Linked DNA regions of Macaca fascicularis. The protein of the gene in region 1 interacts with the protein of each later gene in a pairwise test. Links are inferred from orthologs where the notes say so. Each region holds a gene or a part of one and is shown on either strand. Other genes may lie near its edges. The genes, in order: NAB2, RFC5, TCEANC, NEDD9, PHOSPHO2, NME7 and MORF4L1.

Region 1 (4,456 bases):
CACCTCGTGCAGGCTGAGCTGCTTGCCCTCCCGCCGCTTAGAGTCGAAACGGCCATAGATGATGCTGTATTTGCGGATCTCCTCTTCCTTCTGGCTGTCGTTATCATCCATCTCAAAGATGTGCCCAACGCTCCGTGCCAGCTTCTTATTCAGCTTTAGCAGGGATGTGACCTCCCCAGCATCCCCCCTTGGGAAGCTCCGGAAGATCCTCTCCACACTTTCCACCACCATGCGTACCATCTCTGGCTCCAGTCGGTCTGGTCCACCCCCAGTCCCACCTGCTGCCAGCCCCCCAGCCCCAGTCCCCTCAGGGACTCCTCCCCCTGCAGGGGGGGAGAAGGGGGGCGAGCCAGCCTCCTCTTCTCCTCCTGCCCCAACGTCCGACTCTGGAGTGCTCCGGCCTGGCCAGATCCGGGGGTCCCCTGCCCCAGGTCCCCCAGGCAGTGGTGATAGCTTCTCTCCAAGTTCAAGGGGGCTCTTGGGGCTAAAACTGCGGGCACTGCCTGCCTTTTCCCCTGGGCTGCCATGCCCATTGCTCATGCTCCCTTTCCGGGTACCCGCAGTCTCAGAGATCTTGAAGAGCGGGATGCTGGAGACGGGAACAGCAGGCACTGGTTGACTGAAGAGCCCTGGATTGGTGGCCCACTCTCTCAGTGCCTTCTGCAGGCGCCGGACATGGAGGGGCTTGGTGGCCATGCCCACAAGTGCCATGATCTCCAGAAACTCCTCCTCACCCGCCTCACACAGCTGCTGCACGTCGTCCCCTCCCTGCTGGATGAAGGTCTCATAGTAGGAAAGGAGGTTGGCACGCTGCAGGACCCGGTACAGCTGCAGCTCCCCCAGCGTCCGAGGCAGTGCCATGGCTCGGGCACTGGGCCTGAGAAGGAGGGGCACAAGAGAGAGGCAGTCGGTGCAAGTCCCCTACTGGGTACCAACCCACACTAACAATTGTTCCCTCTTTCCTGCCTGCTTTTCTTCCCCTCTCTCATTTGGATGCTGTCCTGCGCAGTGCCCAGGTCTGAGTACAGACTCTGAGAATCAGGCACTGCTCAGAGGCATGGACAAGCCAGTGCTGTCCTAGACTGGCCTGAAGCCCCAAAAACCAGTGCCCTGTGTCTGCAGGAGTCGAAGCCTCTTAAACCTTATCTTCAGCTTATATCTTTTTGGTCTGAGGTAAGAAGAACTTGAGCGCTGAAGCTAACCAGCACCGACCTCGGATGGCTGGACCTCCCTCTCCCCCAAAACACAATCCTCACCTTCCACCCTAAACACTCAGCAGTCTCAACACTAAAGTGAAGTCGCCTATACTAAAGTGAATGTAGAACCCCTGTCTCCCGCACAGTGGACGCTGCTGGCCAGCTTCATTCCCTGTGAAGGAGCCACAGCCCCAGGTGGCTAGGAGGGAGGGTGTGGCACCTTCCCTGGCTTTCCCACTCAGTGAGCCAGGTGGTGCCTTGCTCTTCTCCGCTCAGCTTTTCCGAGGGATTAAGCATTTTTTTTTTTTTTTTTTTTTAAGACAGAGTCTCGCTCTGTTACCCAGGTTGGAGTGCAGTGGGGCTATCACGGCAACCTCCGCCTCCTGGGTTCAAGCGATTCTCCTGCCTCAGCCTCCTGAGTAGCTGAGATTACAGGCGCCCGCCACCACGCCCAGCTAATTTTTGTATTTTTAGTAGAGACGGGATTTCACCATGTTGGTCAGGGTGGTCTCGAATTCCTGACCTCGTGATCCAACCGCCTTGGCCTCCCAAAGTGCTGGGATTACAGGCGTGAACCACCGCGCCCGGCCTGGTTAAGAATGGCCTGGTTAAGCATTCTTAACCAGCACGCTTCCTCTCTCCCCCCAGGACCTCTCCACCCTTCCAGGCTGCCCAGTGCTCCTCAGTGGCCCCTCTCCTAGCAGTGACACTCCCCACTTCCTCAGTCGGCCTTTTCCTTCAGCTCAGGGGCTGCGGCAGGGGGAGGGGCGCAATTGTTCTGCTCCGGGGCCGTTCCGCCCACACACACTCCCACAGTGGTAGCGTCTGTGGGCGAAAACCGCCCAGGGGCTCCCGCCTACTCTCCTCTCCCTTATTTTCCACCCGCATCTTCAAGTGGAGTAGGGGAGAGGCTCAAGGCCTCTTGCAGAAGGGGCTGCACACTGAAACTCCCCTCCCCACTCTGTGCATAAAGGGACAGACATAGGAAGGAACTGCCTAAGGCCTCCCTGCCTCCCTCGTCACCCCCCTTCCCCCAGCTGATGCTCCTTTAACTCAAAGGCACCGCCTTCTCCTGGACCCCGGGGGCCCGCGCGCTCCGTGCCAACGAGGGACTGAGGCAACTGAGCGTCCCCCCACCTTCCGCACTGACGCCAGCTCGAGCTCCAGGGCATTCCCTGGTGCTAGGAGGCTCCCACGTTCTTTACAGGGGGCACTTAGGCCAGAGAGAGCCCACAGAGTAAACCAGGAATGGATATTTAGGTACTACTCTTTCATATCCAGCTTCATCAGATGTTTGCCTGCTCCCAGGGCCCCCTAATTCGAAGACGCACCCCCTTTTCCATCAGTCTCCACCCCCCACCCCCGTCCCGCTTCCCCACGTCCTCCCCTCGACCTCCGCCCTCTGGACCCCATTCCCAAGTCCAGCTCCACCCATCTCCACTCCCCGCTGCCTCCCTTTGCCCACTAACTTGAGTCTGGGCTGCAGGGTCCGGCGGGCGCTCTCCCCTCCGCCCGGCGGCTGCTCGGCTGTGGGGGAAGGCGCTCTGTGCATGGACGGCCGGAGACCACCCGGGTTGCTCTTCTCGGTGCCCAGCGCTCGGCGCCTGCTGCGTGCTGCACTCTGCCCCGCGCACGATGCCGTGTCCACCGCTGTCCAGGCTCTGTCCCTCCCTCCACGTCTTCTCTCTCCGAGCCTCCGCGCCTCTGTCTGTGCCTCTGCCCCCCCACCCTCCCCGGCTGCGCTCGCCGCCTCTCCGCGCCTCCGCCCCCGCAGGACGCACGGGGAGCGAGGCCCGGCGCTGCGCTGGCTGCCGGGCTGGCGGGCGGAGGGCGTGGGCAGAGCCGGGGGCGGGGGTGGGGGCGGGGGCCGGGGGGCGGGCACCAGGGCCTCTCGGCCGCGGAGACGCCGCGGCTTAGAGACTGGGAGAGGCGGAGACTGGGGGGAGGGGGTGTGGAGCAGGAGGCGGGGGCGGGGATTCAGAGCCGAGGCGCCGAATTGGGGACCGAGGTGACCGAGGCCCGGCTGTGGAGGGCGGGCTTGGGGACGCAGCGGGCGGGGCGAGGTCGCTCTGTGCCGCCCACGCCGGATGCACAGCCGGCCCTCTTGGCGCCCACGTACCCACGTGAGCGCCCCGCCGGCGACATTCCTAGTCTCCCCCACTCCTCCGAGTTGAGAGGAGTTTCACAACCACGCACAAGTACACAAAGAAGCGCACGGACGTGCACACGCACCTAAACAACGACGGGGACGCCCGTTGCCCACACTCAGGCCTTGTGGTGCTGGACCTGTGAATGTTAGGAGTCAGTCGGGAAAAGTTCGCGAAGGCTGGGGTGTGCGGCTCCTCCTGCGTGTGCATCTGACTCCCATAATATGTGTGCACTTAAGGCAGGCCTGAGAGCGTGGGGTTCTGCAGGGATCCCCTAGATATCCCCGCGCCCCTCCCCAGCCCCCCAGTGGAGTAATCTGAGGGGGCAGCTTTCAGAAACCGAGGCCTCCATGCTAGCCTGGAAAAGTTTGGGAAACAGGGATGGGGGGGTTATGCTGCATGCCACCACTTAGGTGCGCGTGTTGATTGGACGCATCGGGTTTTGTCAGCGCGTAGGTCAGGCAGGGATTCCTCCACTTGTCCTCTGTTTGCTGAGGATGAGGCCCTGCTTGGGAATTTTGTGTGGCAAGGCTGAGACAAAGACGATACTCTTCCTGGGGCCGTCTATTAGGGACCTCGTCCGAGAGTCAAGTGGAAGATAAGAGGTCGGGAGCCTCCGACGTGACTTCCTGCGGCGGAGCTGGAGGGAGGAGCGCCTTGAAGGAGCTTAGTCCCCCACCCCCTGCAACCCACCACCGTCTCCCCCTTTGGTTTCTCCTAGCCCCATCTGGTTCGCATTGCACTCCCGCCCACGGCTGGGAGGGCTGTTGGGGGAGGCGGGGGCTCTGAGGGCCCGGCCCAAAGGCTCTAAGCCCCAGGGAAAGGGGGGCTGGTGGGGGACAAAGGGAAGCCAGCGGACTGGCCACAGGTGAGGTTTCCCCTAGTCCGAAACCTGAGCCCCGCCCCGCCCCTCTCCTCTGTCCGCACTTCTGAGGGGCTGGGGCGTGGAGGCCGTGGGCTGGGGCTGGTTCTACATTCTGGCCTAGAGAGGAGACCTTTCCGCCTTGTGGGGTCCGGGGAGAATGAGCGCGTTGTTGGTGGGGGGATTTCAGTTGCTCAGGTCCCCTTCTTCATCCTATTAAGCGCCAAACACAGTGGGGGTGGTGGGAACGA
Region 2 (3,781 bases), about 61 Mb from region 1:
TAGCAGAAAGGAAAGGGTACTATTAGCAGAAAGGACTATCCGATAGTTTAGGGATGAAAGATTTTCCACACCCCATCCCATGGAAAGATATGAATTCTCAACCCTGAAATTGAACCCAGTGTCAAAGGAGGTTGAACACCAGTGACTGGCCAGACTTAAAAGTCCCCGCAGGGCTTAGTCCTTAGGCTGCTGAAGGGGAAGGTCCCACTGCAGAGGTATCTTGCCTGTATCATCAGATGGGAGACACACAGAAAGGCATAGAGATTTCTCTGGGCCAGAAGATGAAAACTGAAAACAAGTCATGCCATATCTCATGTCCAAAGTTCCTAATTCTCCTGTAATCCCAGCACTTTGGGAGGCCGAGGTGGGCGGATCACCCAAGGTCAGGAGTTCGAGACCAGCCTGGCCAACATGGTGAAATCCCATCTCTCCTAAAAATATAAAAATCAGCCGGCTGTGGTGGTGCATGCCTGTAATCCCAGTTACTTGAGAGGCTGAGGTCGGAGAGTCGCTTGAACCCAGGAGGCAGAGGCTGCAGTGAGCTGAGATCGCGCCACTGTACTCCAGCCTTGGCGACAGAGCAAGACTGACTCAAAACCATCCCCTCCCCCCCCCAAAAAAACAATAACAACAGCAACAAACACGAAGTTCCTAATTCTCCTTCTAGTGCGCGCGCCAGCCCACACACTCCACAGTGCCTCTGCTTACCTCTTCTCAAGGCATTCTGGGCGTCCTGAGTCATGGCGTCTGCTTCATCCAAGATCACTAGCTTAAAGCCTTTCCTAGAAAAACAAATGGTGCTGTCTAAAGATTTCTTCAATCTCACCTCAACATCGGGGCTCAAACCTACATCTTCCCATTTGTGCCATCAGGTCCTGTCTCGGAAAGGCTATTTCTTCTAGAACTTTGGCCAAGACAGACATCTTTGGTCACTCAGAGAGGAAATGCCCCATCACTCCTTCAACACTTGGTGGGAATGGAGGACTGACTTCTCTACTTCTATGCGCTGTGTCCTCTGGCATCTTCACTTTCCTCCACATACCACCCTACCATGCTACTGCTTTCCCCATCTCCCTCACTCACACCAGAGTCTCTCACCCTTTCGCTTTTTTTGAGACGAAGTTTTTGCTCTGTTGCCCAGGTTGGAGTGTAGTGCCGCAATCTCGGCTCACTGCAACCTCTGCCTCCCAGGTTCAAGCAATTCTCCTGCCTCAGCCTCTCGAGTGGCTGGGATTACGGGCGCCCACCACCATGCTCAGATAATTTTTGTATTTTTAGTAGAGACGAGGTTTCACTATGTTGGCCACACTAGTCTTGAACTCTTGACCTCAGGTGATCCACCTGCCTAGACCTCCCAAAGTGCTAGGATTACAGGTGTGAGCCACTGTTCCTGGCCCTCACCCTTTTTCTTTCTTTTTTTTTTTTTTTTTTAGCCACCATCCTAGTTGTCTTTCCTGATCTCAATTTATTTTAAAATTCAAACTAGCTCATCCAGGCTTAGGGTAATCTAACCAGTTCTCAGGAACTAAAAATGAAGAATGCTTCCCTAAAGAACTTGGTAATACAGGCTGGGCTCACGTCTGTAATCCCAGCACTCAGGGAGGCTGCAGCAGGCAAATTGCTTGAGCTCAGGAGTTCGAGACCAGCCAACGCAACATGGCAAAACCCCATGTCTACTAAAAAATACAAAAATTAGTTGGGCGTGATGGCTCACGACTGTAGTCCCAGCTACTCAGGAGGTTGAGGCTAGAGGATCGCTTGAACCCAGGAGGTGGAGGTTGCAGTGAGCCGAGATCATGCTATTGCACTCCAGCCTGTACCATAGAGGGCGATCCTGTCTCCAAAAAAAAAGGGGAAAAAAAAAAAAGAACTTGCTAATATAAGTGTAGACAACATTTTATTTTAGCAGTTGCATTATAGTACTTCTTACTACCATCCTCTCCTTTATCTCTTTTCCATGGTTGCTTTGGACAAAGTCAGTATTTTTTTTCAACCCATATAAACTGGCTAAGGAGAGGATTAAAAAATTAAGCCATGTCATCTTACTAATCAAAATCAAGGGAGCGAAATTACACAAATAATTCTTACTTAAATATTGTCCTTGTGCTAGCAAAGCTCAGGATTGGTCCTCGAACGATGTCTATTCCTCGGTCATCTGAAGCGTTCAGCTAAACGTGGAAGACAGAAGTCAAAACAAAAAGCATGTTGCTATGCTATCTGTGAGTTCTTGGTTTTAATGTATCTCCTCATCAGTCCAGCTCAGCAGGTTAGCTTTCTATGTCTAATGATGGCTAAGAGATCATCACAAAATAAAAAATCAGTTTTACACAAAACTCACTAAATCAATAAAGATGGCTATATTACCCCCACCGTTTGAGGACAATGACTGACATAAGCTGGAGAAATAATTAATTGGTATGGTTACACTGAATAGCACCTCCGGTATGAGCAGAATGATACGAATTTCAGCTACCACAATCCCAAGGTTACCAAGTTCTTAATAAACTGACATAAGGACATTAGTAGCAGCAAAGTTCTGAGACCCGCGTCTAAAAGGTAAATTAAACTTTTCTTGCAATAGACAATATTCACATTTTTGAATCTAAGTATGTTAGTCAAGGTCGCAGCAATATACAGATGGCATACTCAAACGCAGCAATTTGAAGAGAATTAAACAAGGAGATCTTTTTAAAGGTGCGATAATAGGAAAACCATGGGGCTATGCAATACCCGTGACCCTTAAGCCTGAAGGGGTTAGTGAAGGGAGTGGCTGTAGGCACCTGGAGAGGGCTGCAGGAAAGGTACCACCTGTGAGATGTACCCTACAGATGGGCCATGCTGCCAGCCTGTCAGCCCTCAGGGAAGGTCCCGGCATCACTCACTTCCTTCCCCTACCCCTGCCAAGGCCTCTATTGGCCAAACCCAACCAGGAGCCAGAGGCTAAGTAAGCTTATAGTCAGTAGAGCTCAGCCTTCCAGGCAGGAATAGGGTGGAGAGATGTGGAGAATTGATCTGGAGGGGCCATGGCAGACAGGCTGCAACCAAGTAACCATAAAGGAGGGTTTGGGTAGAAGTTGGCAACAGCAAAGAAAAAGGTGCCTAGCCCTACAACTGCCCTCTAGCTGACCAACACTAATCCAGACTAAAATGACCATTATAGGAAAAAGGGAATTAAAATATCTTATTTCGAATTTACTTCTTTCCTAACTGTCCATGGGGCAACTTACTTTTAAAGTAAAATAAAGCCAGCAGAACTGAAATTCAGAGACTGGAGTCCTAAGTTATTTGTGGAGTAAGAACAATTGTATTTACCTCCAAGACCATGGAGCCAAATTCTTTGTCTTTATACAGCTGTTTCGCACAGGCTAGGATGGTAGATGTCTTGCCTGTCCCTGGGGGACCATAGAGAAGCAAGTGTGGCAGTCGGTCTTCACTGATAAACTTCTGAACTGAGGATCAGGAAGGAAGAAGGGCACCATCAGTCTTTGGGAGCCGCCTCATTCACCCTGGGCCCCTGAGTTGGGCTGAAAGCTCTTCAACCCAATGCAATGTCCAAATCAGAGGCAGATGCAACTTGATGTAGGGGCCTTGTCTCTGCGTTCCTGGGGCAACTGGAATTCACTCAATAGTGCAGCCAGCCAGCAAGTATTTATTGAGGGCCTACTGTGTTACAGGCACCTTTCTGGGTGCTGACAACATCTGTAAACTTAAATGATTCGCTGTAATGCTATTTTTACTCCACTGAGTTGCAATTTTATGCTCATGTTCGTGACTTACCCAC
Region 3 (4,450 bases), on another chromosome or scaffold:
AGTCATCCACTCCCTCTCCCCAAACTGTAACTTTTAGGGATGGTGGTGTCAGCTTCAGGAACGACTTTCTTTCCTCCTTCTTCTGTTTTAGAGAGTAGTGTGTACAAGATTTTTAAAAGCACAGAAGGGTTGTACAAATAAAAGGTATCAATCACTCAGGTTATCTGTTAAGAGAACACTCATTTACAGTTAAAAGCACACCCACTTGCTGTGGTACCACTGCTCCCCACATTCGTTACAAATTACATAAGTCATCATTTGTTCATCTGGGTTTGAATTCCGCACCCAGCTGGGAAGGAAAAGTGTTCCTCTGTCAATTACAGTGACTTTGCAATTGTATTTCTCACAGCGTCTGCATTTTATTTTATTTGTCTGTGTGCCATCAATTACTTGGGGAAGGTAATGTTCCTGGATACAAGATTCTGTGTAGGAGGCTCTCAACTGCTTCAGTTCCTTGTTTGCCATCTCCATGACAGTCATTTCAGCAAATTCTCGTGGAGACATGGTACCAGAGAGCAAGTTTTGTTGTAAGTGAGAATTTTTGGGGTTCTTCAAATTGGCAACTTTGCTTCTGATGCAAGTTTTATATTTTTTGATATTCTTTGAATAAAGGGTAAAAACATGCTCTTCAATTTCTCTTGCAAAGTTTTGCCACAAATCAGCTTTGGGTTGATCTGCAGAAGAACTAGTTAAAGCTGCGTAAAGAAGCTCTATGCATTTAGTTCTCATGGGTGTTATGGGATCCAGCAACTCACTCAATCTCTTACCAGTGGATTCAGGGCCACCATCCCCAAAATGCTCTTTCTTAGGTTTCAATTGAATGGCTCTATTTTCAGGCACAATCATTTCACTGAGTTTTGCAACATCTTGGGAAGATAGAGAATTTGAGCTGCAGATGCCCAGTGTCTCATCCTGACTTGGGTCATGAGAAGGTCCTGAATTTTCTTCATTACCCCTCACAGGAAATAATTTAGGGCTGTTCCTCGCTTTGGAGTGAGTCTCTTTATAAACAGCTTTCCACTTTGATAGCAAGCACTTGGCTTTGTTTTTCAAAGCCACAGAGGGGCAGTTTTTGAGGACTCTGTATACAGCTCTCACCACATCTGTCTCCTGGAGATGTTCCTTAGTCACATAAATTGTTTCTAGCTCAGTAAGGTGGTTGCCAAGATCCTCAAAATTCCTTTTGGACAACAGTTGCTCAATAAGGGAGGCTCTGGCAGCTATCTGGTTCTTGTCAGACATCTTTACAGCTGCAAAGAAAAAAGAGGTTTCAGTTTTCTTAAGTTTGCCTTTGCTAGTCGCAGCTTCTGGATACGAAAATAGCAGTTTCTGTCAGTAACCTAGGCATTGTTTTCTGAAGGAGTCATGTAATACAAATGTATGTGACATACTAGAAAACGGAGTCTTTAAGGTGGTATGGTTTACTCTCAAGAGTTTAATTCCTACTAGTGAAAAATAAACAAACAGTATTGCAGAGCCTCTACATAACATCTGCTTAAGAGGCTCGCCAGGGGATCTGCTATAGCTTTTCCATCTCCAATTTTACAAATCAATGATCTTTCTAGAGTAGTCAATCCATTTGGGTGGAATCCGGTGGTCATGCTGGAGATGAAATCATGCCAGTGTCAGCATCAATATGGCAATGCTGAACAGTGCTAGACAATTTTTCCCCAGAGTCAGCTATATAATTGAACTACTTGCTCATTTCATAATCTTTAAAGTGGTACTCTTCTGAATATAAAAGAGTAAGAAACAAGACAGAAAGGGTTTGCTAATGTCTCAAGCAATCTAAAGAAACCATGAGACAGCACAGGTTGAAAAGCAGCTAGAGCTACGTCTGCGGGTCCCAAAAGCCAACAGGCTACACTGTGCTGCCTCAGAAGTCTCCTGAACAAGGGAAAGGTTCAGACTCAATGATCCAGATGATTTATGACTTTAGACTAACTGGTTCCTACATTTTGGTTTTGTTAATTTTTTAAAAACTTTTAAGCGTAAAAAGTTGCTCAATGATTATGTCTGTGTGAATCTCATCCTAGGCAGGCAAGCGTTTACTTTATCTAAGCAGTCTACCTTTTCCTCTCCACATAATGTACATAATCTTGTCTATATAATACCCTTGGATCTATATTTATCTGTCTGGTCTAGATGTGAACATAAGCATCTTGATGGCAGGGACTGTGTCTTTTCAAAAATCCATGGGCTCTGTTTTATAGCACTTGATGTTAAATAATCACCACTGAACATACACAGGCTAAGAACACTGAAGTGTTTAGAGAGAGAATTCATGCAATCTTCCCAGACACCATCTGACAAGTGACATAAAACATAATGACCTTTTAGTAATTCTACTTCCGTAAATTTACTTTAAGGAAATGAGAGATGTGGAGACTGCATATGTAAGAATTTTTTTCTAAGGAGAAATTGGAAGGACCTCAAATGGTTAAATGGAGAATGGTTAAAAATATGGCACACTCCTTAGATACAATAATATAACCATTTAAAAATCATGTATTTAGTTATTTAATGACATGGAAAAATGGTCATAAAGTTAGGTGAAAAACAATCAAGATGTAAAACTATATAAAAGATTAAACAGTTATCATATGGGCTGGGCGTGGTGGCTCACGCCTGTAATCCCAGCACTTTGGGAGGCTAAGGCGGGCAGATCACGAGGTCAGGAGATTGAGAACATCCTGGCTAACATGGTGAAACCCTGTCTCTACTAAAAATACAAAAAATTAGCTGGGAGTGGTGGCAGGCACCTGTAGTCCCAGCTACTTGGGAGGTTGAAGCAGGAGAATGGCATGAACCTGGGAGGCGGAGTTTGCAGTGAGCCAAGATCATGCCACTGTACTCCAGCCTGGGCGACACAGCAAGACTCCGTCTAAAAAAATAAAATAAATAAATAAACCAGTTATCATGACCCAGCAGATCCAAGAGAAATGGAAACATATGTCCACGCAAAAACTTGTACACAAATGTTCATAACAGCATTATTCACAATAGCCAAAAATGGGAAATAATCGAAATGTCCATCAACTGATGAATGGATAAATAAAATGTGATTTATCCACACAACAGAATATTATTCTGCCATGAAAAGGAATGAAGTATTGATACAGGTTACAACATGGATGAACTTTGAAAACATTATGCTAAGCGGAAGAAGCCAGACAGAAAACACCACATATTGCATGATTTTATTTACATGAAATGTCCAAAACAGGCAAATCTATAGAGACAGAAAATAGATTAGTTGTTGACTAGGTAGGGTGGGGCAGAAGGGCAGCAGGGTGAAGAAGGAGGAGCAGCTGATAAAGTTCAGGGATTTTCTTGGGGAGTGGTGGCACAAATAAATCTTCTAAAAGTTGATTTATTTGTGGTTATGGGTTATACAACTGAGTATACTAAAAAACGCTGAATTACACACTTTAGGTGAATTGTATGATGTGTGAACTACATCTGAATAAAGGTGTTATTTAAAAATAGAATCTGATCCAAATTTTATTTAAGAATTACATGTGAAAAGACTGAAAAGAGTTACACAAAATTTTAAAGAGGGGCATTTTCTGAATGGCAAGATTTTAGGTAATTTTCATTTGTTCTTTTCCTCTTCTGTATTTTCTGTGATGAGCGTGTATTGTTTTCATAATCAGAAAAGTTATTAGTCTAATGTAATTTCATGATAAACTATATACATTTAAGATATACCTACTGAAAAATGGTATGAGCAATGAATCAATCACCTTCTACCTACTTTCCCTCTGGAATGAGAATGTACTTAACACTACTGAACTGTATACTTAAAAGGGCTTAAGACAGGCTGGCCGTGGTGGCTCACACCTGCAATCCCGGCACTTTGGGAGGCCAAGGCGAGTGGATCATGAGGTCAAGAGATCGAGTCCATCCTGGCCAACACAGTGAAATCTCATCTCTACTAAAAATACAAAAAGTTAGCTGGGCGTGGTGGGGCACGCCTGTAGTCCCAGCTACTTGGAAGGCTGCGGCAGGAGAATTGCTTGAACTCGGGAGGCGGAGGTTGCAGTAAGCTGAGATTGTGCACTGCACTCCAACCTGGTGACAGAGCAAGACTCTGTCAAAAAAAAAAAAGCTGGGGGGGGGAGCTTAAGACAGTTAATTTTATGTTTTGTATATTTTATCACAATTAAAAATTTTTAAAGAAATATAAAGGTCAATAAAAGAACATATAAAATGAAGAGCAAAGTGCTTTGGTTGTTTATACATAAATACATTAACTTCTATAGATTTACTCATTTTGCCGGTAAGACAAATTACTGCTTTCACTCCACTGAAACCCCAAAGCTATAATTACAATTCCCTTTAAGAATCACCTTGAAACTCAGTCAGACCTTCAGTTGAGAAATTCTGAACTGAGTCAAATATTGCTTAACTTCCTTTTGGGCGCTGTAGGCCCATCTCTTATTAACCA
Region 4 (4,463 bases), on another chromosome or scaffold:
CAGGAGTTTGAGACCAGCTTGGCCAACATGGCAAAACCCTGTCTCTACTAAAAACACAAAAATTAGCCAGGCGTGGTGGTGGGCACCTGCAATCCCAGCTACTTGGGAGGCTGAGGCAGGAGAATCACTTGAACCTGGGAAGCAGAAGTTGCAGTGAGTCACACTGCACTCTAGCCTGGGTGACAGAGCGAGACTTTGTCTCAAAAAAAATAATAATCATAAACTCACTTTTTAAAAAACTTAAATACATTTATATTTTAAAAGAAATGTTTATACCACTCCTACAAAAAAAAAAAAAAAAAAAAAACAGGCCATTGTGGTTTAATACAAGGTAATCATAAAAAACACGTACAGGAAAATAAAGCCATGTTAATAATTTGTAGCTAGCTACCAGTGCCTGTTGATGGCTCCGAGCCTCAGATGGAGTTTCTCTTTGTTAAAACAGTAAGGAGCCAAGAGTTAGAAAGGCTTTAAGATCAGGCTCAATGTGACTTCATGCTTTGTCTATGCATCTTGTGCTACACAAAATTCTCCTATTTGTGTTTCACACTACAGAAATTTTGATCAAATGAGTTGTGAAGGTGACAGACAAGCAGGACAAAGTGAAGGTCATTTGCAGTAGGACACATCTTTGTGCTGTGTGGGTTTGCATGAAGAAACGTTGAGCCTAAGGTGCTCTCCCTGAGCTGTGCCTGTGCCCTTTCTCCAAGCCAAATCCAGAAGAAGAGAAGGGGGATCCTTGAATGGATATGTGGGAAATCAAAACTCAGAGTCTAAGGTCAAATGGAGATGGAGCTGATCATTGGAGAACAGAGTACTAAACTCTTTAAGTACCTACAGCAGGAGGTGGCTGGTGGTCTTAGCTTGGGTTACCCCGGAAGTAGACCCAATGCAGAGTTCGAGGACACGTAGTTTAAGAAATGATCCCAGGAAGCATTGACGGGGAGTGAAGGAGTATACAGGGAAGGAGAGAAGCCATAAAGGGCCCCACCACTGTGGGCAACTGGAGCTTGATCCCATGTAGATTATTCCACTCAGGACTGAGGGAGCTGAAATATTTACAGCCTTTGAGGAGTTCATTTCTGGGAATTTTCGTCTGTCATTTGGGCAATTGCAGTTGGCCCTATGTGACTTGGAGAAAGCTCTCAGGTCATGAGTTAAAGACTCAGGTTGTCAGCAGCCAGCTCAGTCAGTGAGGCCTGGAGGAGGGAGGCAGGACACTGACTACTTCGGACACCCCTTCTCTGCCAGATGCTTAAATGTTTGCTTTCCAATCTAATCCTTACCACAGCCATTCAATATAGCTCTTTCCCCTTATTTACATGTAGAGGAAGAGACACCAGGAATTACATCATTTGACCCGTACAGCCTGTCCTCTCCTACACCTCTGCTTCTATCTTCCTAGTCTCCTACTTCTTCTTCTTCTTCTTTTTTTTTTTTTTTTGAGACAGGATCTCACTCTGTCACCCAAGCTGGAGTGAAGTGGTGCAATCATAGCTCACTGCAGCCTTGACCTCCTGGGCTCAAGCAATCCTCCCACCTTAGCCTCCTGCAAAGCTGGGACTATAGGCACACACCACTGCGCCCAGCTATCTTGTTTAAGTAGTGACGTACAAAGTGACAGCCACTAAATAGGTGTTAAATAAATTAACCAATTAACAAGAAATGGTGGAGCGCTAGCTGAACACTGATTTCATATCCTTTCTTTTCCACCAACTCTACTCCCCACATTCTTAGAACGGGAATGTCCTTGAAAGTAACCAAGCTTGGAAGAAAACAGAAACAAAGAAGAAAACTATTTGGCTGATTTCCAGGATTCTGCCATGGACAATTGCTCTTTACACCCAATTCTGGGTGAGAAACCAGCTTCTGGGCAGGGGAAGGAGGGCCTCTTTATGCAGGAGTTTAAATGACTAGAGTGCCTACTCTCACTTCTCAACACAAGCAAAGGGAAAAGATTGGTGGCCGATCTCTGCATAGTTTGGAACTACATATAACCCTTTCAGAACGATCGTCCCCTTTGTGATTATAGATGGTCTTCATTTTGAAATAATTTCAGCAAGATGAAAAGGTTGCCTCAAGTCCTTCATGGAAGAAAGGCAATTGAATGAATGAAGGAAGGAAGAAATGAATGAATGGGTTAAGTGAAAGAATAAACATAGAGAAAAGTAAGGATGGAACTCTTGGGTGGCCCACTATGGACAGGGAGAACACAGTGTGCTGTCACTTGTCCTCAGTCCCTTGGAGATGATGCTAATGACTACAGGGATAGGACACACAGAATCCAATTCTCAGTCACCATTTCTAGCCAGTCAGGACTCATGCCCAAAGAGGCTGAAAAGGACGTAAATGATTCTAATCCATCATAAAGAATAAGTGACGGCTCACACCTTGAAGTACTGAAATAATTCAGGAAAAAAAAAAGCTTAGTTGCTGTCAGGTAAGCTCTCTGACAACAGTAAGAAGAGGGGAGGGGCCATGTACTTACGCACCAGGAAGCATCCACCCAGAACAATTTCAAAAGTAGAAATCTTGCGGGTTTGAATGTTGCACTAAAACCAGCACCTCCAGGTCAACTCGGAGACCTGGAGTCACTCATTCCTCTTTTGGGGCACGTGGAGATCCTCCCTGACCCAGTTGAGGGGTGTTCACAGTGGGGAAACACCACCAGATGTCTGGCACCGACTCAGGAAGTAGGAGCCTGAGTGAGTCCCTCCTCTCCCACAGGCCACGGCAAGTGGCTGAGAACTCACCCAAGGGCAGGATGGCACCGTCGATGGATCATTTTGCCTCCCTGACGCTCTGGCCCTGTCTCTGGGCCGGCGGGCGGGAGGTGACAGCTAGTCCTGCTGCAGGCTCATGCTTCCCTCTCCATGCAGCGAGCGGACTTGCTTCTAAAGGCAGCTGTAAGCATTTCCCTACTGAGCCACCACACACGTCGGATGTGAGTGGCGTATGTATATGTGTGTTTTTCCTTCCGGTTGCTGTGAAGTGATGTTGTCTTGGTTCATTTCCTCTCTGTGCCTCTTCTTTTTTTTCTCGGTCACACTTTCTGATTCGCTGAGGACATTGTAGTTTAGGGACAGGTAAGAAAGCTTGTTCTCATCTGGCTTCTTTGCTATTTTTAGAAAGGTGATCTTTAAATTAGTATTGCAAGGAAATTTGTCAAAATGTATTTTTCTGCGTGGCATAAGCTCCCTCCTAGGCTGCACTGAAGCAAAAGTTAGGCATTTCCAAGCCAACTGAATTGGGATTTTATGGTTTTATGGACTTCGTATGTTGCAAAGGGTTCCACTATTAATTGACACAAAACATTCTTTCATAAGACAAGTGTTTATTGAGCTTGTACACTGGAATAGACACTATGCTAGGGGCTAGGTGCTCAAAGAGTTTCCTACTTACAATGTGATATGGAAGCCTAGATCTGTGTATGTGGACGGGAATTTGAAAGCCCACACCTTTTGTCTTCTTCATTCTGTGCTTTCGAGTAGCAGACAAGTGGCTCTGAGACAAGCCTCCTGGGTTTGAATTATAACTCTGCTCTTTAAACACTTCTGGCCTTTCTGTGCCACGGCCTCCTCATCTGTAAAATGGGAACAGTCACAGGAGTGTTGTGAGAATTAAGCAAATTAGTACATGTAAAGCACTCCAAGAGTGCCTGGCACAAATAGAGTAAGCACAATGTAAGTGTTTGCTATGATCATTAGTGGCAACTTTGTATTATTATCAACTGAGATCTTTGCTATTTTCCTACCCTTCCTCATTTTCCACTCCTTGCTCGTGCCTAGCAAATGCCTTGAGGACATAGAGGGTTGAGAGGAAAGAGAGAGAGGTGGTTTGAATAATGGATGTCCCCAAATGATCCTGTGGTGCCTGATGTTTCTGCTCCAACTTGTTCCTGCTCCATCATGAAGACAAAGAAAGGGCCGCCCTTGGTCCCACCCATCAGACTCAGCTCATGTGTGTTGCGCTCTTGTGGCATCTCTTTTGTTGTTGTTCTGTTTTGTTTTAATTTTCTGTAAGACTTCTCTGAAATTCATTTAATTTTAAATGTTTGAGCTTGTTCAAATCTTGCTAAAGAATATTCTGCTCATACAAAGATGCCACACTTAAAGCAATAAACACTCAGCTCAGTGCCATGTACAGTTGGGTCTTATGAATAAGTCAGTAACAAGAACATCAGTATTAATCATCATACATATATTGTACGTGTTAAGGGCAATGAACAATATTCATCAAGGTATGCTTTTATTCTTCCTTCTTCTCTTTCTCTCTCCTTACAAAACCATTCTTGAGTACGTGCTATGTATCCACATGGTTCCAGATTTGAGTTAGAATTATTCTACTCTGAAGTTTTTATTTTATAGTACAGAGTATTTATAATAAATTGATGGAGGCAGAGAAGTCCGGATAGTACATGTTTTATCAAAATGTCCTTTTATGCATTTCCCATTATACCATAT
Region 5 (4,231 bases), on another chromosome or scaffold:
CCTATTCTATATACAGGGAACAGAGTCTTCTGGTTTGGAGCAAAATAATGGAAACTTCTTAACTCCTAAAATTAATAAAAGTATTTTAAAAGCTTTAACATTTGTATTTTCTAATTATGTTGTTTTTCTTATGTCAGGAAAGTATCTCTTGGCAATAGGAGAACAAAGTTTTGCTTTCCACTTGGTATTGACTTGGTGTCGAAAATAAGAAATGTTACGTGAAAATAAGTTTTTGTCCAGTGGATAAAATCATAGTGCTAAGCTGACTGAGATTTTTCAGAGTCCATTTTTTTCTTTTTACTTGTTTAATAATAGAGGAATTCCACATTCTGTTGTCAATAGACATTTAGAGATTTAGTGCTGCATTAGAAATTAAAATGTCTCCAAAAATTAAGGATATGCACAAAGATTTAGTTTTAAGAATGTGAATCTATTTTGAAACCAATCTGTTAAAGTTCCAAAAAGAGTTAACGGTTCTCTTCAAAAGCACAATCTATGTCCATTTGGTATGTCTGCAATGTTTCCATAGTGTAACAATATCCTGTGTACTTTACACAATGAAAATTAGAAACTACGGCCGGGCGCGGTGGCTCAAGCCTGTAATCCCAGCACTTTGGGAGGCCGAGACGGGCGGATCACGAGGTCAGGAGATCGAGACCATCCTGGCTAACACAGTGAAACCCCGTCTCTACTAAAAAAATACAAAAAACTAGCCGGGCGAGGTGGCGGGCGCCTGTAGTCCCAGCTACTCGGGAGGCTGAGGCAGGAGAATGGCGCAAACCCGGGAGGCGGAGCTTGCAGTGAGCTGAGATCCGGCCACTGCACTCCAGCCTGGGCGACAGCGCGAGACTCCCTCTCAAAAAAAAAAAAAAAAAAAGAAAATTAGAAACTACACAGACATCCAAGAATTGGGAAATAATTAAATAAGATATGCATGTGACAGCATATAATAGAATATCCAGCCAGTAAAAGCTAAGATATTCAGTTCAAATTAAACAAGCAAGTCACAAAATAGTATGTACAGTATAATCCTGTTGTTTTAGAAAATGTTTACATGTGCGGTGGAATGGTTATGGTTGGTTCAACCATAGTTCACACTTTTTCTACATTAATTTTGTAATAAAATTTTTTTCTTCTCAGAATAATTTAAACTGTTTCAGATCAGAGTGCATATGCTACCTTATTAAATTTACAACAAAGAAAAAAAAGAGTGGTGGGTATAGGACAAACAACTCTAGATTGACTTGGATTGTGGTTGGAGTTGGAAGCTCGAGTCTGAAGTCAAATTATATCTGACCACCATGTCAAATTGGCAAGTAACTGACATCAAATCATGAGATTCGACACTTTTTGTAACCAATTTTGTTAAAATTCCAGAGAATTTTTGTTGGGGGACAATTCTCCCTGCGTCTCTGGTGGTTGTGCATGTCTTACTGACTGCTCTTTCCACTATTGTTTCAAGGATGTTTCTACAGTGGACAGCCTTGAGAAACATGCTTATTTGTCCAAATGATAAAGATCTGGGTTCCCTAAGCTCAGGGCTGCTTTCCTGTAATTCAACATACTCTACATCTAGGTGACTTCTTGCCCACTTTGCATTATCCTGTGGGAACTGGGGCTTTAGGGAACTCAGGCAAAATTGCTGATATACTGGCTACTGCTGGGGGTAATTCATTCCTGAAACGAATAGTCTTCTGTCTTCCATGAAACTGCCAGGCTAAGTTAGCCTGCAAACAGGGTAAAATCTCTGTTCCTTCCCAGTTCTTGACACTTTGGCACTGCAAGCTCCGCCTCCCGGATTCACGCCATTCTCCTGCCTCAGCCTCCTGAGTAGCTGGGACTACAGGCGCCCCCCACCACGTCCGGCTAACTTTTTTTGTATTTTTCGTAGAGACAGGGTTTCACCGTGTTAGCCAGGATGGTCTCCGTCTCCTGACCTCGTGATCTGCCTGCCTCGGCCTCCCAAAGTGCTGGGATTACAGGCGTGAGCCACCGCGCCTGGCCCCCAGTTCTTGACTTTTTAAGGTATGCTTCCAAAAACCTACCAGCGCTCTATGTGCACAAACTAATTTATGTCTACAAATATTTTCTTAATTATTCCATACTTACCAGCATTATTACGTAGAACATCTGATAGAAAACCTAAAGAAAAATAGCACGACTGTGTGTTAGGACGTTCGTTATTAAAAATCTTTTTGTTCTTTCACTTTGAGAGACTCCAGTTTGGTGCATTATGTGTACACATCAGAGCCAACTTGTTAGTAATGAAGTTATCTGTACATCAATGTATTAGAAAAGGATCTTTTGAAACCAAACGCGCAGCTACTCCTAACAGATTTCTGTGGTCCTGTATTTACCAATAAATTTAAAATATCTCAAAGGTCCTAACATAAATGTTCTAAGCATATCATTAAGTTTTAACATTCCTATTTTTAAAAAACTTGGCCCCATCTAGTCCTGACCATGCCCCAGAAACCAAAGGATTAAAAAAACGGCGTTTATGTCAGCGAATCCGCGGGTTTTTATAGTTAAGGAAGGGCTTTGCTCCTCACATTCCACCCGCGAGGAGATCGGGGACACACAAACCACGGCTAGGCCTCGCGCGCTCACACACCTGCCGGCTCCACCCCGAGGGTAGGCATCGGACCCAATCGGAGGTCGTTCCCCATGGAGCGCGCAGCAGGCGAGGATGGGAGTAGCAGGCAGGGCGGGGGTCCACGGCCTTCTCACTGACCCAGGCCCGCCGTCGGCAGCCGCCCCGGCGCCTGTGACGCTCCTGCGGGTTCAGTCCTTTGGCCTCGCCCCACGCCTGCCCGCTGGGCAGCCCCACTCACAAGCCCAGCTCGCAGGCGCGGGCGCAGGCGCCTCTCTTGTCTAGCCCGACCGCCAACTGCAGCGCCTTCCTTGTTCCTCGGCGACGGCTGGCGTCACTTCCGGCGGCGTTGCCAAGCAACCGCGTGGTTCGAGTAACAACGTCCACCGGCTGGAGTCCGCGGCGCATGGCGCTACAGTCACTTTTCCAGATCTGGGCGCACCGTGGACACCTCGTCAGAGATGCTGGTACGGTTTGGACGACGCTGTGGACAGGCGAAGGAAAGTACAGGTGAGCTACACTGACTTATCCAGGGACAGGGATTGTTTCTGGATCCCCGGCATGGAGTGAGAGGCGAGGATGCCGAATGAGAGCTTCAGCTGCTTTTTGAAATGGACTCCATCAAGTCGAAAGCATCCTCAATAAGCATCTTTGGGCTCTGTGTAAAGTTAGGCCATCTTGCCCTCAGGTGAATGGATGAAGGAGGGAAACGAGGAGTGGAAGTGGGTGGGAGAATGTTTACAGAAATAGGGGTGGAGAAAAGATAGGAAATCAGAGACCCCCCACCCCCAGCTAACCTAAAACTGCGCAGTTGCAGCTCTGAGAATCTGGGCTTTGTTAAATTTCCGGCACGCTTAAAGTTTGTTATTCACTGATTGAATTGGAATATCTCTTGGAAATATAAGTCCCCTCTTTAGAGTCTTGGCTCTGCTGCAAACTTGCTGATTGGTCTTTACTAAAAGTCTCTGAAGGAAATTCTCCATTTCCTCCTCTCTAAAGTAAATATAAGGTATCTCTCTAAGTCAAATGCTTGCATAGAGTTTAAAAAAAAAAAATCGTGCGACATAAAGTATTGTAATTCAGATGACCTGTTATAACAATTTGATTTTGGAATAGAAATAGACTTCTAAAGAACTCTATCAATTCTAGCTACGACAGTTTCTTAAGTCTGTAAATTGGCAATTAATGTAGTCATGGTGACAACTAGAACTTTGGCAGTTTGAAGTATCTTCATGTCATTGCCCGAACTTCTGTAGCAATAGTGCCCCCTGCACCAGATGCAGAGTGAGAGCCAGTCATTCTTCACTAGTGGATATTTATGCAGTGGAGGTTTCATGAGGTTAGCAGCGGACTTTTGCCATGTAAAAGGAAAGAAACAGTATCAATATGGCAAGTATTGGAAAAGCACAATTACTCCCACATATTCACTTTCCTGCATATGCATTTCTGCACTACCTGGTTTAGATTTACCTAATAGTTGTTAAATAATGTTTTGTGTCAACTAGCTCACAAGCCTCCATCCGAGCCTCGCTGCTAAATTTTAATCTCCATTTTTAGGGGAAGGCTAAGTAGGAGAGGGTTTCAGAGATGTGTGCAACTATTTGTAAAACAAATACTTTATCAAGATTTAGTGGGGTG
Region 6 (4,521 bases), on another chromosome or scaffold:
ATAACCAGCTACTGGTCCTTGCTTTTCTACAATTTCTTACTATTCAGAAGTCATGTAGCCAGAGGTCACAAGATTTGTAACTTCACCAATTGCTCCTTTAGATAACATCACTATTATAAAACCTAAGATTGGTCTTGATATATTTTTCAGGCTTCTGCATTCTGGCAAACCTCCTGATGCCACCCAGATACATGACTCATACCAAGAAACTGACTCTACTAGTCCTATGACTCTCACCTAGACAACTGACTCAGCACAGGAAGACAGTTTGGAAACACCTATAAATTCATCCCCAACCAATCAGCAGCACCCACTCCCTACCCACCTGCCCACAAAATTATCCCTAAAAACCACAACCTCCAAGCTGTCAGAGAGGTGGATTTTAGAAATATCTCCTATCCTGCCACTCAGCTGCCTTGCCTCCATTAAACTCTTTCTCTGCTGCAACTCCTGCATTCTCGATGTTTGGCCTTTCTGGGAAGCGGGCAAGAAGAACACGTTGGCCTGTAACAGGAGAATAAATAAGAGTTTGGCAAGCAACAAGAGGGTGCAGGTATTCTGTGCAGAAGGAATTGCAAGTGCAAAGTAGAAAGAGGAGGCATACTACCAGTTTGAAGTTGCTTGGTATGTTCAATGAAAAGCAAGTAGCTAAAAGGCAAGATAATTTTTTATAAAAAAAAAAAAAAAAAAGGTATGGAAAAGGAAAGGCAAAAGCTAGACAGAGAAGTGCTTGTTCATGGAGGAATTTGTGTGCCACTCTAGACATTTTACTGTAGGAAATGGGGATTCTAGAGTTTTAAGGAGGTGAGTAAATCAACAGGCTGGGTTTTTAAAAATTCCTTCTTGTGGCAGAGAAAATAATGGATTGGAGAATTTCCAGACCAGACTGTAAAAGTCACTATTAAAATAATCAAGAAATGAGGAGATGACAAACTAAAATTTGATCTAGTGACCAACTGAATATGGGAGAAATAGGAAAGGGAGGAATGTAGGATAACTCTGATTTCTAGTTTAGGTTACAATATAGTAGTAGCAGTATTTAACTTGGTGAAAATAGGAGAAACCAGGAGGAAAGATAGCAAGTTCAGTTTTGGTCATATTAAGTTTGAGGGACCTTTGAGACAGATGTGTCCGGGAAGCAACTGAGTTAGGCATTAGTAGATCTGAGAGAAAAATTGAAATTTAGAAGCAAAATCAAAGGTGTTAATAGAATCCATGTGAGTGGACAAAATCACCCAAGGAAAATGTCTAGACTAAGAAATGAAAGTAATTAAGGAGTGAATTCCAAAGAATGACATTCAAAAACCAGGCACAGCCAGTAAAAGGAATTAATGACTATGAACCTCAGTTGTCACAAACAGACTAAGCGATATAAATTTTGAGAAGTAATTACTGTATTTGGCATTTAAAAGGCCTTTAGAAACTTAAGCAAGAACAACTTTCTTGAAGGCATTAAAGAAGCCAGACAAAAGACTTTTGTCTGTTTGATATAAGTAAAAATAATATCCTTTCAATAAGTTTACTGATAGATAGGAGGACTGGGAAATAACTGGATAAACACAGGATGGATGACATGGTTTTGCTTTATTTAATTTTCATAAGATGTGTGACTTGAGCACTGAGTAGAAGGAACTGAAGAGGAAGAGGCTGAAAGCACAGGAAAGAAAAAAGACAACTGGAAGCGAAATGTAACAGATGGAAGCAAATGAGATCAAAAGCAAAGATGGATGGATTATCCTTTAATATCCCTTTCTCTACACTAGAAATACAAGACTAAAGGCTTGGCAAAAATATAGATCAGTGTGTAGGTTGGGGGCATGAGGTTGAAGAATTGTTATACTCCATCATGTTTAGAAAGGAGAAATGAGAAGGGCAAAAGACAGGGTTTATAAATGGAAGGTTTGAAAATGTCTTTACAGAAAATGGGGCAGGGGAAAACTGGGGTAACCAAAAGGATTGCTGAGTAGTATGAAGAAACAAGGGGTGATGGGTGGGGGCTCTGTTTCTAAATTCGTAGCTATAACTATCTAAAGATCTTTCTATCTTCCAGTCCATTATCCATAAGTGCTTAAAAGACACGATAGTTAAGTGAATTAACTAGAACCCTGGTACTCTCAAACATGTGGGTGAATTAAAATCACCTACAGGTTTATTTAAAATGCAAATACCAAGCCCCATTCCTTTCATTCAGAATTTCCAGGGGTGAAGTCCAAACAGTGAATTGCAGAAGCTCTCCAAGCAATCCCAGGAGAAATTTCTGTTTAAAAAAAAAAAAAAAGAAAGAAAAAAAGAAGAAGAAGAAGAAAGAAAAGAAAAGCAAGCACAGACCTAGAAGGTAAGCAACTGGACAGACGAGAGCTGATCCAACATACATCTGTTAATGGCCCTCGTGGGGGCGTGGGGCAGTGCTCTGCCACTCAGAAAAGCAAAAGGACTCCAAGATCTAGGGAGATTCAGATCAGTGTTGAGACAGTCACATACACACCACCCCACACTCTTAATAAAGCGCGTTAATGTGAATCTGTGAGCATGAAAAATGCCACGATGAACAATGAAAACACATAATGTTGTTCAAAACAGGTGATTAGACTCGATGCCTTACCCTGAATTTTCTGTTTCATTACTCTAGAGACTTAGTAGCATCAGTGGAATTCAGGGTGCTGTAAGAAATACGGAGAGCGAGTAAACTGCAGTAACAGCCCATGGGAAGGGGGAAAGAGATAATGAGGAGAAGGTCGGGAGGACAGGACAACTTTAAGTGCCCATCCGCCCGAAGACTTGGAACGCTAAGTAGCTAGGACCCACAGCCGTTATTCTGACATCCCCTGGCACTCACCATTGTCTCAGGATCTCAGCACTAGAAAATAGGTATCGTTGAGACAGGAAGACACCACCACCAACACCATCATCCGGTTACTCAGGCAACAGAGCACCGCCCACTGTCGCACGGTGCGTGGGACGCCACCGCCCCACCTCTTCGTCCTTAGTGGCTGGGAGTAATCTCAGCTGCGTTCATCCAATCGACAGGCCCGCCCCTCCACGCTGTCGCCTGGGGCTACGAGACGCCGTTTTTCTGTTTCCGGCAGTTTTACTTCCGTTTGTTTAACAGCTGGCCCGGAAGTTTAAGTGAATCTGAGGCTTGGGCTCCAAAAGTTGCTGTACAGTATTTTATTTTAAAGTAGACATCTGTCCGCTTTCCACTTACGGAGGCCTTACAGTGTGTGTTCTGTGTTACTTGAGTTTAAACGCACTGCAGAATGTATTTACCCTTCTCTTTTGGAAACGTATTCCGGAAGCGAAACCCTGAGTAATCGGAAGTGGTTAGGAGTGAGAGAGCTCCTGGATATGTGGAGGGCCTGGGCGGGCCGGCTTCTGAATGGAAGAGGTCTGTGAGAAGTTAGCCTGGTGATACCGATCCGAAGAGCCTATGAAGTGAAGTCCCCTGAAATACGGAGAATAAGAATCTTACAGGTAAATCCGAGGACAAGCAGGTATAACTAAGGATGTTGGAAAGGGACGGAGGTCTGGCTGGAGCTTGGTGGCCAGTAGCTTTGGATTTAGGGAACGATTGTTGTTCCGGGAAGGCTTTTTCAGACAGGAATGGAACTTCGGTTTCGACTTCCCGGGACAGCAAAGGTTGACAGACTTGTCGCTTCCCGGCCTATCGCTCTCATACCTGCTCACTCCCCCTACTTACTTCTTCACCCCCTCACCTTCATTTGGCATTTGCCAGCACGCACTCGGTGTGCCTGTATGTTTCGCAGAGCAACTATCAAGGGCAGTTTCAGGGATCGTTACTCTTACGAAGGGTTTTTTGGATACCTCTTTTCGGAGCAATAGACTGTAGTGTAGAAAAGTTTGTGACTGTTAAGAAAGTTAGTCGTCGGGTTCACTAATTGAACTGAGTTGTATCTAGTACTGAGAGCGATCTTTTTTTGTAGTGACACCAGTTGTCATCTAGTGTACAGTTTGTCATATTTATATCATTGCAGTAGCATCACCTTTTTATATGTTTTCTAGTAAATCTGAGTCTGTACTGTAGGCAGTGTGTACATTTCTGAAAGCATGTGCTCAATATATGTTTCTCTTTTTACTTTTGGAGCTACACTATTTTAACTTTATTACCAAAAAAATATGAATTATGTTATCTTGAGTAATATTTTTTCTCGTTCGTTACACATCTAAACAGAAGCTCCTTTTTGATGTGTGTGTGTGTCTGTGTGTGCATACGAATTGTGTCAGTATGTCTCCTAAGAAAGTAATTACTTTAAAATTCCTCTTGTCGTACGGATGACAAAAAACCACCACAGTAACTTCATTGCCATTGCTTGGCTAAAATTCAGGACACACTTCTGACAATTTAGAGTGTATTGGTGAGGATGGTGAAACGGAATATTTAGAAGTAAACCACCCCTATTTTTTTTTTTTTTTTTTTTTGAGACTTTTAGTAGATGTAACAATGCCTTCTGGGAGAAAGGGATATAAGAGACATTTCGCTTTCTAAATGCATGTGTACTAAAT
Region 7 (4,349 bases), on another chromosome or scaffold:
TAACACGGTGAAACCCCGTCTCTACTAAAAAATACAAAAAGACTAACCGGGCGAGGTGGCGGGCTCCTGTAGTCCCAGCTACTCGGGAGGCTGAGGCAGGAGAATGGCGTAAACCCGGGAGGCGGAGCTTGCAGTGAGCTGAGATCCGGCCACTGCACTCCAGCCTGGGCGACAGAGCGAGACTCCGTCTCAAAAAAAAAAAAAAAAAAAAAAAAAAAGGCACAAGGAATTCTCTGCTGCTATTCCCCTCTTAACTAGCAACCCTCTAGAACTAAAGCGCTTCCTTAAACAGCCAACCTAAGGCTGTTCCTACAGAAGCGATTAACTTTTTGTGCCTTGTCTGATACAGCCTACGAGCCGAATGATTTCATAAATACATAAAACACACAGTAGTACAAAGGCAACCAACTGTATCGAAACACCAAAACATTTTAAATGTCACGTTCTATGACATTACAGGACAAAGACTTGGCTAGTCATCCAGCAACTACCCTAATTTTGAAGAAACGAGAATGATTGATAACTGAAAACATCTTCCACAACTGTAATGCTGAGATATGAAAATACACTGAAAATACTAATGCGGCGTTTTTTTTCGGGGTTTGGGGGGAGGAATTACACTGTTAACTGAAAACTAAACTTGGGTACACAGAAAAAACACATCTTCCTCATTCAATTTCACGGACCCTCTGAATGCACTGACTAAGAATATCTGCTCTAAAACGTCTAGTAAAATAATGAATCCATAGGAGGTAGAGTCACAGATTCTCAAGGTGGGAGAAGGGTATTAAAAGTCACACGGCTGAGCGCGATAGCTCACGCCCGTAATCCTCCCACTTTGGGAGGCCAAGGCGGGTGGATCGCTTGAGCCCAAGACTTCAAGACCAGCCTGGGCATCATGAAACTCCGTCCCTACCAAAAATACAAAAAAAAAAAAAAAAAAAAAAAAAAACCCACAAAGAAAAAACCCCTAAAAACAAAACAGAACAAAACTCAGCCGGGCATGACGGCGCGCGTCAGTGATCCGAGCTACTTGGGAGGCTCGCTTTAGCCCGGGGGGCAGAGGTGAGCCGAGTACCATAACTGCCCTCCAGCCTAGGTGACAGAGTGAGACATCGTCTCAAAAATATAAACAGGCCGGGCGCGGTGGCTCAAGCCTGTAATCCCAGCACTTTGGGAGGCCGAGACGGGCGGATCACAAGGTCAGGAGATCGAGACCATCCTGGCTAACATGGTGAAACCCCGTCTCTACTAAAAATACAAAAAACTAGCCGGGCGAGGTGGCGGGCGCCTGTAGTCCCAGCTACTTGGGAGGCTGAGGCAGGAGAATGGCGTAAACCCGGGAGGCGGAGCTTGCAGTGAGCTGAGATCTGGCCACTGCACTCCAGCCTGGGCGACAGAGCGAGACTCCGTCTCAAAAAAAAAAAAAAAAAAAAATATATATATATATATATAAACAAAAAAGTCACTCGTTAACAAAATACCCCTAAAACTCCCTTAAATATCCCATAAGATACGCAGTACTACGGTTTAAGATTTATGTCTCTAAAAGGAATTTTAATGCAAGTCTAAAAATCCCTAGAACAAAAATAGTACGCATGGAAACACCGTATTTACGGTAACTAGCATAAATTTCGATAGCAATGAAAACGAATATTAGAGTGTTCCTCCTTTTCAACAGGATTTTACTTCCTTTTTAGCTATTAGACCTCCACCTTATTATACATAAATTGAAGCGTTGTGAAAATTTAAAGAGCTGCCTTCCACTGGCAGTCTAACCCTAGCCAAACATGCCAATCGAAAACCAATTAATAAAAATAAACTCAACTTTCAAGTCACCGTTAAACACTGCAACTAATCAAACAATTACTGCATTTAAAAAATGACGTCGAGACAATGGGACTTACAAAGGCAAACGGCGTTAACACTGCATTCAGATCATTTTTATTTACTTTTTACGAGCAACTGCAAAGCGAGAGCGCACTAACATTACCATAGGATCTTGGCACTGCGCCTAAGAGCAGAGTAAGGCCTCCAGGCAACACAAAGCGGAGGAAAACGCTCATCCCACTGATCCTTTTTTTTTTTTTCTGTCCCCACCCACCACTCTGAGGTAAGCGAAGGGTCCCGGCAACCTTGCGGTCTTCGTGGAAGGGGGCGCTGCATCTGCCCTGAAGCTGCGCCTGCATACGGGGCAGAGACGCCAGCGGCCATGATGAAGCCGCCATGTTGCAACGGCCATTTTACAACACAGTTCTCCCGCCCCGTGGCGCCAAACCCACCCCCATCTGCAGCTCCGAGTCTCCACCGAACGCGACCACCCCGGGGCTCCAGGGAGCACCTAACCGCCCGTCGTGGCTGCCCAAGCGGCCGGGCGCGCTGCAGGACAGCCAGAAACCACCGCCGCCCCTCCCCCCGCCGCCACATCACTTCCCCTAACCGCCGCCATGGCGCCTTGGTCGCCTCCCTACAATAGGCTGCTCTCTCCGCGCCCTCTTCCTCAGAACAATAACAAACACTTGACGAGGGTGTGCCACGCGCCAAACGCTCCCTCTCCCACTCTAACGCCTGCGTAGCACTCTCGCTTCACAAAGCGCTCGCAATGACGCATCGGAATTGCCATCCGCAATGCGCTTTCCCCGCACAAAGCACTATCCGCCGCCTTCTCAGGGTGCACCCCGAGCCACCCCCGGCCCTCAAACCTCAACCACCTCGAGCCCGCCTCCATCTCCTGCGCCGTTAGGTGCCTTTTTCCCAAAGGCGCACACTCACCCTCCTGGAATTTAGGCTTCGGGTCCTGCTTCGGCGCCATTTATAAGTGATTCGCCGCCTCCTCCTTCTCCCACCACCCCCGACTACCGCCCCCTACTCTCTACCCCACCCAACTCCGCGTCAGACGCGCCGTCAGGCACTGCCAGCTCTACATCCTGGGCCGGATTTGCTAGCGCCCGCAGACCTCACAGCAGCGCGACCCGCGCAGCCGCTGCTCCAGCCAATGACAACCCGCCGCGCCCGCGCCCCTGCGCCCGCGCCGCCCCGGGGCACGCCGGGACTGGTAGTTTCTAGTTGGTGGAGGCGCAGCTGGGTGGGGGAGGGGCCGGCTACCCTACCCCACTCCTCCCCACCCCCCCGCCACTCCCCATCCCCCGGGCTGCTGCGGGTTGGTAAAGCGGGGAATTGATTACGTGGGAGGTTAAAGCAGAGCGGGCAATGGGGGAGAGTGGGGGCGGTGAACCACCAGCGATGAAAGAATGGGAAAAACCCAGTTGCGACGTCCTTTGGGCAAATAAGCCCCCATTGATGTTGAAGTAGCCGGAGAGAATAGGGCTGCCTCGAAAACCTATATTCAATAGCATTCCGCTAGTTTTTGTATAGAAAAGCTTTAGGATCAGCAATGTGGCCACAAGAGGATGGGAAGTGGGGTCCGCTTCTGGAAGCTTCGTTGTTTAGCAAGCCCACTGCCTAGTCTATTTGGTGGGATTGATAGCCATTTGTTGGCTCCCAGGTCTACCTCCTCTTCTCCAGTCCCGGCCTTGCGGAAATGAGGAAGATGACGTGGGAAACACTAGTCAGGCTTTGGCTTTTTGAGATAATGGAGCTCTGCTATCCGCAAAAGGCTAGTGTGAATATGCCAACCTCTGCATTCCGTACCTGCCCTGTTTGTACTTTTTTGTCATCTAATTTTTGAGCCATGATTGAATGTACACACACTAAACAAACGGATTTCTTCAATATTATATATTTTTCTTTTCTTTTCTTTTTTTTTTTTTTTTTTTTTTTTTTTTGGAGATGGAGTCTCGCTCTGTCGCCCAGGCTGGAGTGCAGTGGCCTGATCTCGGCTCACTGCAGCCTTCACCTCCCAGGTTCAAGCGATTCTCCTGCCTCAGCCTCCGGAGTAGCTGGGATTACAGGCACGTGCCACCACGCCCAGCTAATTTTTGTATTTTTAGTAGATACCGGGTTTCACCATGTTGTCAGGCTGATCTGGAACTCCTGACGTCGTGATCCGCCCGGCTTGGCCTCGGAAAGTGCTGGGATTACAGGAGCAAGCCACCGTGCCCAGCCTGCCTCCATGGCTTTTCTAAGCCCTCCCCTGCCCGGGTGCCACACCCTACCATTTCCGGGCCCCTCTCCATTTTTCTGACTTCCATTTCTCCTTCAGTCTTTTTAACACAACCCCTTCTTCGACAACAGAAACCCACAAAAACCTTCGTTATTCCAGTTGAATATACACCATCTTGTCACGGCTGCTACTTGCAAGCTTGTCCAACCTGCCTTATTTTCCTGTTGTTTTGTTTTGTTTTGTTTAGGCTTTTAGCACCCTGAAGCCATGGTTTTTAGTTTCAGTC

Evidence for each region.
Region 2: the proteins of NAB2 (region 1) and RFC5 interact in binary tests that used the Homo sapiens proteins (3 or more experiments, as listed by UniProt). The link is inferred for Macaca fascicularis from reciprocal best matches to the Homo sapiens genes NAB2 and RFC5.
Region 3: the proteins of NAB2 (region 1) and TCEANC interact in binary tests that used the Homo sapiens proteins (3 or more experiments, as listed by UniProt). The two-hybrid records come from large-scale screens. The link is inferred for Macaca fascicularis from reciprocal best matches to the Homo sapiens genes NAB2 and TCEANC.
Region 4: the proteins of NAB2 (region 1) and NEDD9 interact in binary tests that used the Homo sapiens proteins (3 or more experiments, as listed by UniProt). The two-hybrid records come from large-scale screens. The link is inferred for Macaca fascicularis from reciprocal best matches to the Homo sapiens genes NAB2 and NEDD9.
Region 5: the proteins of NAB2 (region 1) and PHOSPHO2 interact in binary tests that used the Homo sapiens proteins (3 or more experiments, as listed by UniProt). The two-hybrid records come from large-scale screens. The link is inferred for Macaca fascicularis from reciprocal best matches to the Homo sapiens genes NAB2 and PHOSPHO2.
Region 6: the proteins of NAB2 (region 1) and NME7 interact in binary tests that used the Homo sapiens proteins (3 or more experiments, as listed by UniProt). The two-hybrid records come from large-scale screens. The link is inferred for Macaca fascicularis from reciprocal best matches to the Homo sapiens genes NAB2 and NME7.
Region 7: the proteins of NAB2 (region 1) and MORF4L1 interact in binary tests that used the Homo sapiens proteins (3 or more experiments, as listed by UniProt). The two-hybrid records come from large-scale screens. The link is inferred for Macaca fascicularis from reciprocal best matches to the Homo sapiens genes NAB2 and MORF4L1.

What each region holds. Positions count from the first base shown.
Region 1 is NC_088385.1:63,886,825-63,891,280, reverse strand, and holds the start of NAB2 (NGFI-A-binding protein 2), read right to left. Parts: upstream 2,907-4,456; 5' UTR 2,749-2,906; coding exon 2,666-2,748; intron 878-2,665; coding exon 4-877; intron 1-3. UniProt on the Homo sapiens protein: Acts as a transcriptional repressor for zinc finger transcription factors EGR1 and EGR2. Isoform 2 lacks repression ability.
Region 2 is NC_088385.1:124,997,212-125,000,992, reverse strand, and holds part of RFC5 (replication factor C subunit 5), read right to left. Parts: intron 3,450-3,781; coding exon 3,313-3,449; intron 2,169-3,312; coding exon 2,089-2,168; intron 783-2,088; coding exon 709-782; intron 1-708. UniProt on the Homo sapiens protein: Subunit of the replication factor C (RFC) complex which acts during elongation of primed DNA templates by DNA polymerases delta and epsilon, and is necessary for ATP-dependent loading of proliferating cell nuclear antigen (PCNA) onto primed DNA.
Region 3 is NC_088395.1:13,442,867-13,447,316, reverse strand, and holds the start of TCEANC (transcription elongation factor A N-terminal and central domain-containing protein), read right to left. Parts: upstream 3,033-4,450; 5' UTR 2,953-3,032; coding exon 2,763-2,952; intron 1,251-2,762; coding exon 190-1,250; 3' UTR 1-189.
Region 4 is NC_088378.1:161,564,951-161,569,413, reverse strand, and holds the start of NEDD9 (enhancer of filamentation 1), read right to left. Parts: upstream 2,938-4,463; 5' UTR 2,754-2,937; intron 1-2,753. UniProt on the Homo sapiens protein: Scaffolding protein which plays a central coordinating role for tyrosine-kinase-based signaling related to cell adhesion. As a focal adhesion protein, plays a role in embryonic fibroblast migration.
Region 5 is NC_088386.1:65,245,979-65,250,209, reverse strand, and holds the start of PHOSPHO2 (pyridoxal phosphate phosphatase PHOSPHO2), read right to left. Parts: upstream 2,895-4,231; 5' UTR 2,615-2,894; intron 2,143-2,614; 5' UTR 2,110-2,142; intron 66-2,109; 5' UTR 1-65. Other genes in the region: CFAP210 (cilia- and flagella- associated protein 210), read left to right, coding at 3,055-3,103. UniProt on the Homo sapiens protein: Phosphatase that has high activity toward pyridoxal 5'-phosphate (PLP).
Region 6 is NC_088375.1:26,996,214-27,000,734, forward strand, and holds the start of NME7 (nucleoside diphosphate kinase homolog 7), read right to left. Parts: upstream 2,927-4,521; 5' UTR 2,840-2,926; coding exon 2,837-2,839; intron 2,661-2,836; exon of another isoform or gene 2,603-2,660; intron 1-2,602. UniProt on the Homo sapiens protein: Possesses an intrinsic kinase activity. Displays 3'-5' exonuclease activity with a preference for single-stranded DNA. Does not seem to have nucleoside diphosphate kinase activity.
Region 7 is NC_088381.1:56,296,183-56,300,531, reverse strand, and holds the start of MORF4L1 (mortality factor 4-like protein 1), read right to left. Parts: upstream 2,890-4,349; 5' UTR 2,813-2,889; coding exon 2,773-2,812; intron 1-2,772. UniProt on the Homo sapiens protein: Component of the NuA4 histone acetyltransferase (HAT) complex which is involved in transcriptional activation of select genes principally by acetylation of nucleosomal histones H4 and H2A.